Kluyveromyces lactis: one gene and its partners. Each later gene encodes a partner of the first gene's protein in a complex. Links are inferred from orthologs where the notes say so. Each region holds a gene or a part of one and is shown in the gene's direction. Other genes may lie near its edges.

The links. Proteins that work in one complex are often made in the same cells at the same time.
Region 2: MRPL1 (region 1) and MRPL49 share a complex: the UniProt entries of both Saccharomyces cerevisiae proteins name them as parts of the mitochondrial large ribosomal subunit. The link is inferred for Kluyveromyces lactis from reciprocal best matches to the Saccharomyces cerevisiae genes MRPL1 and MRPL49.
Region 3: MRPL1 (region 1) and MRPL51 share a complex: the UniProt entries of both Saccharomyces cerevisiae proteins name them as parts of the mitochondrial large ribosomal subunit. The link is inferred for Kluyveromyces lactis from reciprocal best matches to the Saccharomyces cerevisiae genes MRPL1 and MRPL51.
Region 4: MRPL1 (region 1) and MRPL4 share a complex: the UniProt entries of both Saccharomyces cerevisiae proteins name them as parts of the mitochondrial large ribosomal subunit. The link is inferred for Kluyveromyces lactis from reciprocal best matches to the Saccharomyces cerevisiae genes MRPL1 and MRPL4.

What each region holds. Positions count from the first base shown.
Region 1 is NC_006042.1:1,782,997-1,785,458, reverse strand, and holds MRPL1 (mitochondrial 54S ribosomal protein uL1m), read left to right. Parts: upstream 1-1,161; coding exon 1,162-1,962; downstream 1,963-2,462. Other genes in the region: TMA64 (Tma64p), read left to right, coding at 1-795; MRX14 (mitochondrial 54S ribosomal protein bL34m), read right to left, coding at 2,285-2,462. UniProt on the Saccharomyces cerevisiae protein: Component of the mitochondrial ribosome (mitoribosome), a dedicated translation machinery responsible for the synthesis of mitochondrial genome-encoded proteins, including at least some of the essential transmembrane subunits of the mitochondrial respiratory chain.
Region 2 is NC_006042.1:1,308,974-1,311,303, forward strand, and holds MRPL49 (mitochondrial 54S ribosomal protein bL21m), read left to right. Parts: upstream 1-1,347; coding exon 1,348-1,830; downstream 1,831-2,330. Other genes in the region: SAP185 (Sap185p), read left to right, coding at 1-19; enoyl-CoA hydratase PHS1, read left to right, coding at 385-1,029; mitogen-activated protein kinase kinase kinase BCK1, read left to right, coding at 2,148-2,330. UniProt on the Saccharomyces cerevisiae protein: Component of the mitochondrial ribosome (mitoribosome), a dedicated translation machinery responsible for the synthesis of mitochondrial genome-encoded proteins, including at least some of the essential transmembrane subunits of the mitochondrial respiratory chain.
Region 3 is NC_006042.1:776,644-778,955, reverse strand, and holds MRPL51 (mitochondrial 54S ribosomal protein mL43), read left to right. Parts: upstream 1-1,383; coding exon 1,384-1,812; downstream 1,813-2,312. Other genes in the region: GCD2 (translation initiation factor eIF2B subunit delta), read right to left, coding at 2,023-2,312. UniProt on the Saccharomyces cerevisiae protein: Component of the mitochondrial ribosome (mitoribosome), a dedicated translation machinery responsible for the synthesis of mitochondrial genome-encoded proteins, including at least some of the essential transmembrane subunits of the mitochondrial respiratory chain.
Region 4 is NC_006038.1:467,767-470,650, reverse strand, and holds MRPL4 (mitochondrial 54S ribosomal protein uL29m), read left to right. Parts: upstream 1-1,385; coding exon 1,386-2,384; downstream 2,385-2,884. Other genes in the region: NTE1 (lysophospholipase), read left to right, coding at 1-186; U4/U6-U5 snRNP complex subunit LSM3, read right to left, coding at 471-722; 8-oxoguanine glycosylase OGG1, read right to left, coding at 2,576-2,884. UniProt on the Saccharomyces cerevisiae protein: Component of the mitochondrial ribosome (mitoribosome), a dedicated translation machinery responsible for the synthesis of mitochondrial genome-encoded proteins, including at least some of the essential transmembrane subunits of the mitochondrial respiratory chain.

The sequences.
Region 1 (2,462 bases):
TTGAAGCTAAAGGGCAAGAATGACAGTTGCACCGTTATCTCGCTAAACAAGAATCATAAGGATTTAACAAACATGGAAGCCTACAAGACCTTGGCAACTATTGCTAAGAAATCCTCAGGTGATACTACAAACCAATCAAATAAAAACAAGATAACAGCATATTCTGGTGAAAATCTTTATAAACCAATGAGCGCATGCCAAAGATTCATTACCGGAATAACCGCCGATGTCCCACAGAGTTACTACACTCAACAAGAGTTAAAAAAGCTTCTAGATTTGTATGTCGCCAATAACAATCTAATAGATCCGGAGAACAAATCTCTTGTCAAATATGATGATACGCTTTATCAAATGTCTAACAGAGCTCCCCAAAATGGTGGAATACAGAAAATTGCAAGAGGGCTAATAGTTTCGCCCACTTTCCTCTCAAAAAACTTCAACACCTACCACCAAATCTACAAGCCTAATGGTGAACCGCTTCTCAAAGTACCAGAGAAGGGACCCATCCCAACTCTTGAAATTGTCACGGAGAAGAAAATTGGTAGGAAGGTCATCACAAGAGTCACTAATTTTGAAAAGTTTAAAATTGACTCTGAAGAATTAGCTGCTGCATTAAGAAAGAAGTGCAGCGGATCCACCACCATTGGTGAGTCTAAATCGACGAAAACTGCTGAAGTCCAGGTTCAGGGTCCACACGGTTCAATCGTAATCTCTATTTTGAATGACTACGGTATTCCTACTAAATGGATTTCGTTTGAAAATAAAGTCAAACCAAAACAAAAGAAGAAGCTGTAAGGTACACTTATGCAGATAGGCATTATGTGAAACTGCTCTTTGTGGTCTTTCCAGGGCCTTGTATATCATAGATAACTCATCTTCTTCCTCGTCTTATTCACCTACATAAACAGTATACCAATTACATATTACCCGGATTTGTCGATGTATCAAAATTTTTTCAGCTTTAGTATAATGATTAGTTGGATTAAAATCTTGGAAGCGTTAACAAGAACGATGAGAACAACGAGTTGACGTTATATTACCCTTTGGAGAGGATACAATCAATTTTCAACTATTTCACGTAAAAACTTCAAAGACTTGTGTCTCTGAATAACCTGAGATTTTTTCCAATTTCGCTACTTAGAGGCTAATAGGGTCGGCAAGATGTTTCCAAGAATATTCACCAGGCAGTTCCAGATAACGTCCTTCCGTCTAGCGGAAGAAACGGGTACTAAGTTGACTAAAGAGCAACTTAGAAAGAGGGAGCTAAGAAAAATGGTTCAAAGAAGATTGCAAGCAAAAACTCCGGCCAGTGACCATCCACTGTATATGCCAGTTTCTAGAGCACTAAGATACTTACGTGCAATCGAAGTCGGGCAACCAGCAAGCCAACAAACCATCACGTTAACTACATTGGTGGTAGCAGAAAGAGGTGTCCCCCCTCTTACAGGTAATGTTTCCTTCGGCAAACCTCTTAAAGATGTGAAAGTTGCTGTCTTCACTAATGACGAGGCACAAGCGGCTTTGATGAAAGATAAATACAGTGTTCATTTAGTCGGCGGTTCAGATTTAGTAAGTCAAATCAAGGCTGGTGAAGTCAGTATCGACTTTGACAAGGCTTTTGCAACTCCAGATATTGTTCCACAACTTGCTTCTCAAGTTGGTAGAATTTTGGGTCCTCGTGGTTTACTGCCAACTGCCAAGAAGGGAACCGTCGCCGAAGATCTTGAGCCATTGATTAAAGATAGTATGAGCTCTGTTCCATTCAGACAACGTGGTAACAGTATTAGTTTAGGTGTTGCCAAGACCCATTTCACTGACAAGGAAGTTCTAGAGAACTTGTTGGCAACACAGAAGGCTTTCAAACAATCTATCACCAATCAACAAACGAAAAAACCAAGCATATTGTCCCAAACTACGCTGACAAGTACACACGGTCCTGGTATTGTGATTGACTTTGCTTAATAAAGCAACCCAATTTTTATGAACAATAACTGGAATTGTTGTCCTTGTCAAGATAGAATGAAACTTACTTCAGAAATAATGCCCATGTACATAGAAATCGTTAATAGAAAAAAGATTCCTTCTGCAATTGATAACTATAAACCTATCCGATAGAATCATCTTAATGTCATGCCAGCTTTCTGATGGCAAAGCTAAAATCAAAACTGTTCCGTTTTCTTAAAATACATAATGACGATGTGGATATATATACAGGAGATTCAGCCATTCTTTATAATCAGGCGCTTCCATAACGTTCCTGGTTTGATTGGAAAGTTGAACAGAACTAATAAGTCAAATACCATCTGCCTTTATTCTTTCTTCTTTTAAGTATCTGTTGTCCACTTCTAGATCTTGCCCTTGCTAGGAACCCCACTCTTCTCTTTCTCTTTAAAGTACTCGGTTGGAAAGTGTTACCTCTACTTTTCCATCTTCTCTGAGTCAAATCGAACAACATACCAAAT
Region 2 (2,330 bases), about 470 kb from region 1:
CTCACATGATACAGATTAACAATGCAGCCTTATCCCCAAACACGAATCCTTATCAACACAAATTGATATATAATAAACATTTACTTTTCCTCTGTTTATCGTTAGTTCAAGTAGTAATAATATTAATAATAGTAATAGTAATAATAACATACGAGTAACACTAATTCAAATCTTAATTCTCATGTCATCAATACATACTGCAATTTGTTAATTTGGGTATTGTTGGATTTCTCTTCCTTTTCGTCTCAATGCATCACTTAATTTTATGAATCTGAAACCATGAATTCTTGTTATTGACAAAAACTGGTCTGTTTAGAACCGAACTGGATCTTAATAAATTGAACCCCGAAGTCCAAAGAGCCCACCAATACACTTTCACACCCAATGGCATCATCTAAGGCTTCTATCTTCTCCTTCCTTCCTCTTTACAACCTACTTTCTGCTTCTGCCTGGGCTTATGTCCTATATCAAGTCGTGACCCTTTACCCAAAGATCGGTCAACCAAGTTTCTTTATTGCTACCAAGGATTTAGTCACGTACGTTCAATGCGGTGCTATAATTGAAGTCACAAATTCTTTGTTTGGAATAGTCCGTGCTCCGCTAGTGACCACTGCTGCTCAAGTGGCCTCTCGACTCTTGGTAGTCATCGGTATCTTCCAGTATGTGCCGGAAGCAGAAAATGCGCATAAAATATATTACATCACGTTGTTGTCGGCATGGTGTATTGCTGAAATAGTGAGGTACATGTTCTACTTCTTCAACTTGGTGGCTCAAGCGCCTACTGTACTTGTTGTATTGAGATATAACATGTTTTACGTGCTATATCCATTGGGCGTCGGCAGCGAATTGTTCATAATTTATTCTGCATTGCCGTTGGCTGAAGCAAAATACAATATCTTGTACAAGTATTTCTTAATTGCAGGTATGCTAGCCTACATTCCAGGGTTCCCGGTGCTATTCTCACACATGGTTGCCCAAAGAAGGAAGGTCATGAGATCCTTGAACGGTGATAAACGCAAATCTGCATGAATTGTCACAGGATTAAAAGAATAGTTTGACTCATGTATAAAAGTTCTGTAACATTTGTAACATACCCGAATGAATGCACAAATGAAACGACGCTGTCCCTTGGCGTGGCCGTTGGCTCTTCCTTCTCATGACTGTGTGTGTGCCCTACTTTTCACGTCACGTCACGTGACTGACATCAACACTTAACTCTCGAAGGCTCAAAAAATTTTCTGTTGAAACAGTATACGACTAGTTGAACAACATTTAAGACAAGTGAGAAGAAGCAGATTGAAAGGGCTATTGCATCTGCCAATTGTCGTTCGAATCAGTGCAGAAACGATGTTCAAGAATATCAGTCATATGTTTGCCCTCCCAGTAAGGCAAATGGTGGGTTTCAGCCCATTTCTTCAACCTTTGAAGAGAAGTTTCATCAGAACAACACACTCGGTAGCAGAAAAAGCGAAGGTGAATTTAACGCCGTTGAAGTTATCCAATGAGCTATATGCCGTATTCAGAATACACAACAGACCATACTTGGTGACAGAAGGAGATAAGGTTATCTTACCGTTTAAACTGAAGCAAGCAGAGGTCGGCGATGTGCTAAATTTGACTGATGTGACTACCATTGGTTCTCGTAACTTCAAGCTCGTGGACGAACCTATTGATCCATCTCTATACACTATTAAGGCTACAGTTCTTGAGAAGACAAAACGCCCGCTTAGAGTGAGAGAAGTTACCAAGAGAAGAAACAGGAAAGTGCGTCATGCGGTCAATAAAGCCGATTTGACTATTCTGAGAATATCCGAGCTAAAAGTCAATTAATGAACTAACCCTCCTACAAAATCGTGTAAATAAAAGTTTAATATAATGTTAGGTCGTTATAGATCGATTAGAAATACTATACCATCTAGTAACTATGTTTTAGTGGCAGCATCTCATCGAATTTGTTAGAAACGTTTACCGTTTTAGAGAATAGATATAAATTCAAATAGAAACAATTGTAATTAATACCATTTTAATCGTTAATAAAGAGGGGAGAAAGACGATAAGAGAAGAGCTTAGTGCAACAATTACTGGGTATCGATACTTTAGTATCTGATAAGTAAAGTCCCGCTAAATATAGATGAACCGTGGATGATATGTCTTTCTTGAAGAAGAAGAGTAGCACTGCTGGACATTCAAGGTCAGGATCTGCCTCATCTATACTCAACAAACATGTTGATCCTGCCAATATCAGTGAGTTTTATCCATCGTCATTGGATCACAAGGTGACCAGTGGTTTGAAGAACGATTATAGTTTTGATTCCAGCAGCAAGGGATCC
Region 3 (2,312 bases), about 1.0 Mb from region 1:
TTAAGGATAGACGTAAAGTTGGATCCAATGAATGATTTTATTTTTCTGTAGCGAGGTATTGAAGCTTCTGAAAACTGACGTTTTGAAACTTTCTTGTTTAGTGACAGAGAAAATAATTTCAAAAGGTATGTATGGGTAGGGAACCAAGTTTAGCGTTATAATCGTTTTTAATGAGCGTAGTAAAGTTAGGTTGTTGTTCGAGGGTGTTCAATCTTTAATTAATCTGAAGGAAAACTATGTATATTAAGAATTCTTCAATGACATGAAATAAAGGTGCAAGTAAAAGGTATGAAAATGGTAGTAAAAAAGTGCCATTTGCTGCCCTTCTTATATAATACAAATGTTACTTTGGACACGCTAATAAACTCTTAACACCTTATAAGTATTTACCGTTGATGAATTACCAAGTTCCAGTTAATTAGTATGGTATTCTTCTGCTTTTTTCCCTAAATTTTTTTGTCGCATTTTATACTGCATCGTTGAAACGCTTCAGTGAACGCCGTAATAAATTAAAGAAACGGATACAAACCTTGACTGTTCGCTACTTACAAGTGAATGTTTTTTAGGGGTGGTCATCGTTATACGCATCCTTAAAAAAACGCATAGAACTTTAATTTTTCAATAGTTATAGGGACATTATACGCACCATAATGATAAACTGGTGACTATTATGGCAATACATTTGCCTGTTCTTGAACAAAGTGTCATACACTTACATCACACTTAATAGGGAGTGCCCAGTTAATTGGTTTAAATGACGCATGTGCATAATTTTTTTAACAAATTACTAGTGTGCATCCAACATACGCTAGGTGTCAATCCGTACATTCCATGGGTGAACGCAAATCAGGCCCTTTATTTAATTAACCTCATATGAAGCCTTTGGGACATCTTGGATCAGAATCTGGGGCCTCTATCGTACTTTCTATGGATTTGCTCAGTAAAAGTACCCTTAACCAAACGCTGGTAGTGCATTATTGTCATAACCCATCGACAGATCATCAAGTTTACATGACGTATGACATCTCATGAGGATGTGTTGACATAGCAATGTGAAAGAAACAGAATATAGTCGGAAAGAGGTTCTGTATTATTTACATTCGTCACCTTATAGCAGTGTTGGTACCAGTATCTTTTTCATTTGTGTGAGCATGTGGTGAATTGTCCTCCTACCTTCGAATACATACAGATTTGTTCACGTGACTGATGGTCTTTTGAAATTGGAAAAAAATAATCATGAACTGAAAACTCGAATAAAACTCAAAAGATATATTAGTGAATCTATGTTCTGCATCTGAAGGATCTCTCCACAGTTTCAAAATACACCCAACTTGTTTTCTAATCAGAGCTGGTACCCGCGGTCATAAAGATTTCTCTGAAGTAATGGTTGTTAAAGTTTTGAGACAAACTTCTATCGCAAGAAATGGTGTTGGCGCTTTTGTGCTTCCATGTAAAAAGATCACTTTGCAATACTGTAATTGGGGTGGTTCCTCACAGGGTTTGAGAGATTTCCTAACGTCTAACAGAATGATTCAATGGGCTGAAAAATATCCAACAATACAGTTCGAAATAGTAAGAAAGTCTGGCCATCCAGTTATAAAAGGTGACTATGTTAATGGCCGTAATAAAGCCATCTGCGTAAAAAATCTGAACATTGATAATGTAGAGAATAAGTTAAAACTAATCAGAGACGCATCTGGTGAGCAACTCCGTCACAGAACTAAGAACGACAATGTGGATACTTTGAACGATAGTGTGAGAGGTATCTGGTCTCCACTACATTTAAGCCCAGCCATCAGACACAAGGTTTGAATCGAAAAAATGACTTGTGAATGGTAATATCGAGATCATAGCTTAACTTGTACATATATATAGCAATATCCTCGATGAAGCCGATACCTAAGTAAACAACCTACGATGTTGAATATTACTACGCAATTAATAAAAAAGAAGATCTATACTAATTTTTCATTTACTATATTATATGATATTATCGTATATTATATATGCAAAGGGCTCCATTCAAGCTGATGCTTTGTATTCTCTAAGAACCACGGGAACAGAAGATGGTGGCAACGAACCAAATTCTGTAATGATCTTCTTGATGTAGTCAGGGGGTGTTAAATCGTACATTATATTGAAGATGTGCAAATTAGGTGATTTCTCCCACTCTGCTAGTATTGGTTTATCCTTGACATTCTTACCTTCGTCGGCAGTAGCATTATTGGTATTAGCACTGCCAGATTTATTATTTTGCTTAGAGCTATTCTCGACTTCCTTCTGCTGCGCTTCACGCTCTTTGATAAATTGCT
Region 4 (2,884 bases), on another chromosome or scaffold:
CCTATTGAGAACTATGCGACTTTGGATTTTGGTAAGTTTGAAGAAATATACCAAGTAGGCTACGCGTACGGTCATGACTTTTTACAACATCTGCAAGAGAAAAACGAATTACCGCCAATTGCGGGTACCACAACTTCTGCTTATGCCGACAAAGAAAACATGTTACAAAGACGGAACAGTATATAAAACGAATTAACAGGAAACGCTACCCACATTTGTCGATGGTGGACATGCAGGACATAAAATCAAAGCCATGGCAATTAACGTTATAGTTTCTAAGTAACTGTAAACCGAAAGTTAAAAAAAAATTGAATAAACTAAATATATACTATACAAATGTTAGCGATGGATGTATATTGGGGGCAAAATGAGGATAGCTCACATCGCACTCAATCAATAATGAGGACATGAAGTTATTTCTTCGAATTTCCCTTATTAAATGTTGAAAGAAGAAGAAGGATACTGGACAATCATTCATCTTCTGGTGTTGTTACAAGGGCCACAAGACCACCTCTAACGAAAATCATTTCCGAAAACCTTTCGGTCGTTTTCAAATCTCCTTCTACTAGTTCATAAATGGTTTCCTTTGAATCTGAAAGAACAATATTACAATGTGAGTCGAAAGCCTGAAGAGTACCCACTAATTCACGAGCATCACGTAATTTCACATATACTCGCTCGTCTAAATTCAATTTTAATAGATCCAGAGGCGTATCAGACATCTTTGCGGCGTAAAGTGTGTATGTCTTCTATATTTATGATGCAGTCGTATTCTTACAATAACCAATAATGCAATTGATAGAGGGTACAGCAGTTAGGTTGAATGGTTTCCTTTGTCAGTTTATCAAATGGAGTACCAGGTATAGTAGAGTAGTCGATATACAATCCAAGGCTTAGTTCCATTCACACTCCAGAGCATCCTCCATAACATACTTAATCACCAAATTATTGTTAACGTACTAATTGATAAAAAGTGTTGAAGTTTTGAATTTCGATGTCAATGGAAAGCTCTGAATTATAGAATAATCAGTTAAACCAGGGAAGGTACACGTTTCCAACCATCTTTGAATGATACTGTACCTGTTGAAAGATGGCCAGGATATGCGATGCTAGTTTATCATCTTATTGCACTATGCTTCACTAAGAGAGTCAATAGTCAACCTGATATTCACGTGACTATCACATGACAAAGGCCGGGCAACCTAATGACGGACCCCGAATCAACTCTGTTCGATCAAAAAATTTTTATAACATTTAAGCAGAGGAAAGCTGAATAGGAATTAAAACATGGATGAATCAGCTAGCTGTCGTGATATTGAAGTGTTCTACCTCGATTGAGTAGCTGCAGGACGTGTTTATTATAGCAGGGATATTATATTTTCAAAATGTTCCCAGCAAGAAGGGGATTGCATACTACTTCTAGAGCATGTGCCAGGACGAGATTCACCAAACCTAAACCCAAACCAGCCAAGAGAGAGAACGTTAGACTACCTACCCAGAGGACCCATCACGATAATGATTTAAAGATTACAGCTCCTATTCCACCGGCTGCTGCCAATTTGACATGTCCAGATGATCATCCTTTATGGCAATTTTTCTCCGAGAAGAAGTTTTTAAGAACGCCCGAGGAATTGGATACGCTTTCGAGACCTTGGACCATCCCAGAGTTGAGAAGAAAATCGTTCACTGACCTACATTCTTTGTGGTACACATGTTTGAAAGAACGTAACGTATTAGCACGTGAAAACCATTTGGTGCAGTTCAACTTTGAAGCACAAACCGAAGCATACCAAGATATCTCCGAAAAGATCAGAACGACAATGTGGAGAATAAGACACGTCCTTAGCGAACGAGACTGGGCATTCAAGATAGCGAATGAGAAATTTGCTGTTGAAAAACAAGTATTTATCGAATCATTCGAAAAAGACTTTTTAGAAGCTCCTGCTAACGAAGATGAAGAGATTTTCGAATCATTGCAACGTTTTCAATATGCCATATACGGTATCTCTGAGTACATCGATGAGAACAAAGTGGACAGAACATTTGTGGATGGATTGAAAGCGGTTGCAACATTGAAGTTAAAGAAATTTGCACTAAGAAACGAGGACATCAAGAACTTTTTAGAAGAATCTAACAATACAATTGTGGATGCAGGTGAATCCTTCCTTCTGTATACATCAGAAAACACAGAATCTGCCATCGCAGAAGCATGTCAAGCGGTAAGGGAGTTGAGAGAAAATGGCTCCTCTGTGTCTAGATACGATGAATTGGAAACTGTTCAAGAATATGTTAATAAATTAGCTGAGGCTCAAATGGCAAAGGTAACAGAAGCGGAAATACAGCTGCAAGAAGAAGATGCAAAAAACAACGCTAATACACTATGATATTAATGCCATCGAAGTGATTGTATAAAGAGATAAGTGTAACCGTCCATTTGGATGAACCCAGCCTTCCTGTACATATGTATACACCAACTTAAATAACGGAATATAAAACAAAAAATTTCCTTCGACAACACTTTAATTTGACGAATAAGAATTGTATTTAAAGAGAGTTTTATTTGCAGTCAATTAATTCAATAGACCTTTTTAGCCTTTTTTACCGCTCTCCGTAGCGGCCTCCCAGTAATGCTATACTCTATCGACATAGTATCTTCAATTTTAACCGTGGACAAAGAATCTTCCGTACTGATCTCTGCCTCGTCTTTGACTACAACTTTAAAGTCTTCTTCTTCTCCAGATGCATCATAGTCCAGTTTGCGTCTTTTCACTAATTTATCACTTGTACTTGCTCCAACTGTTTTCCCAATTTCTTGTGCGAAAAGGACACATTGTGCCCAGCCCGCGTATGGGCCCCATAGATCCTGGAGCTTCCTTCTGTACAT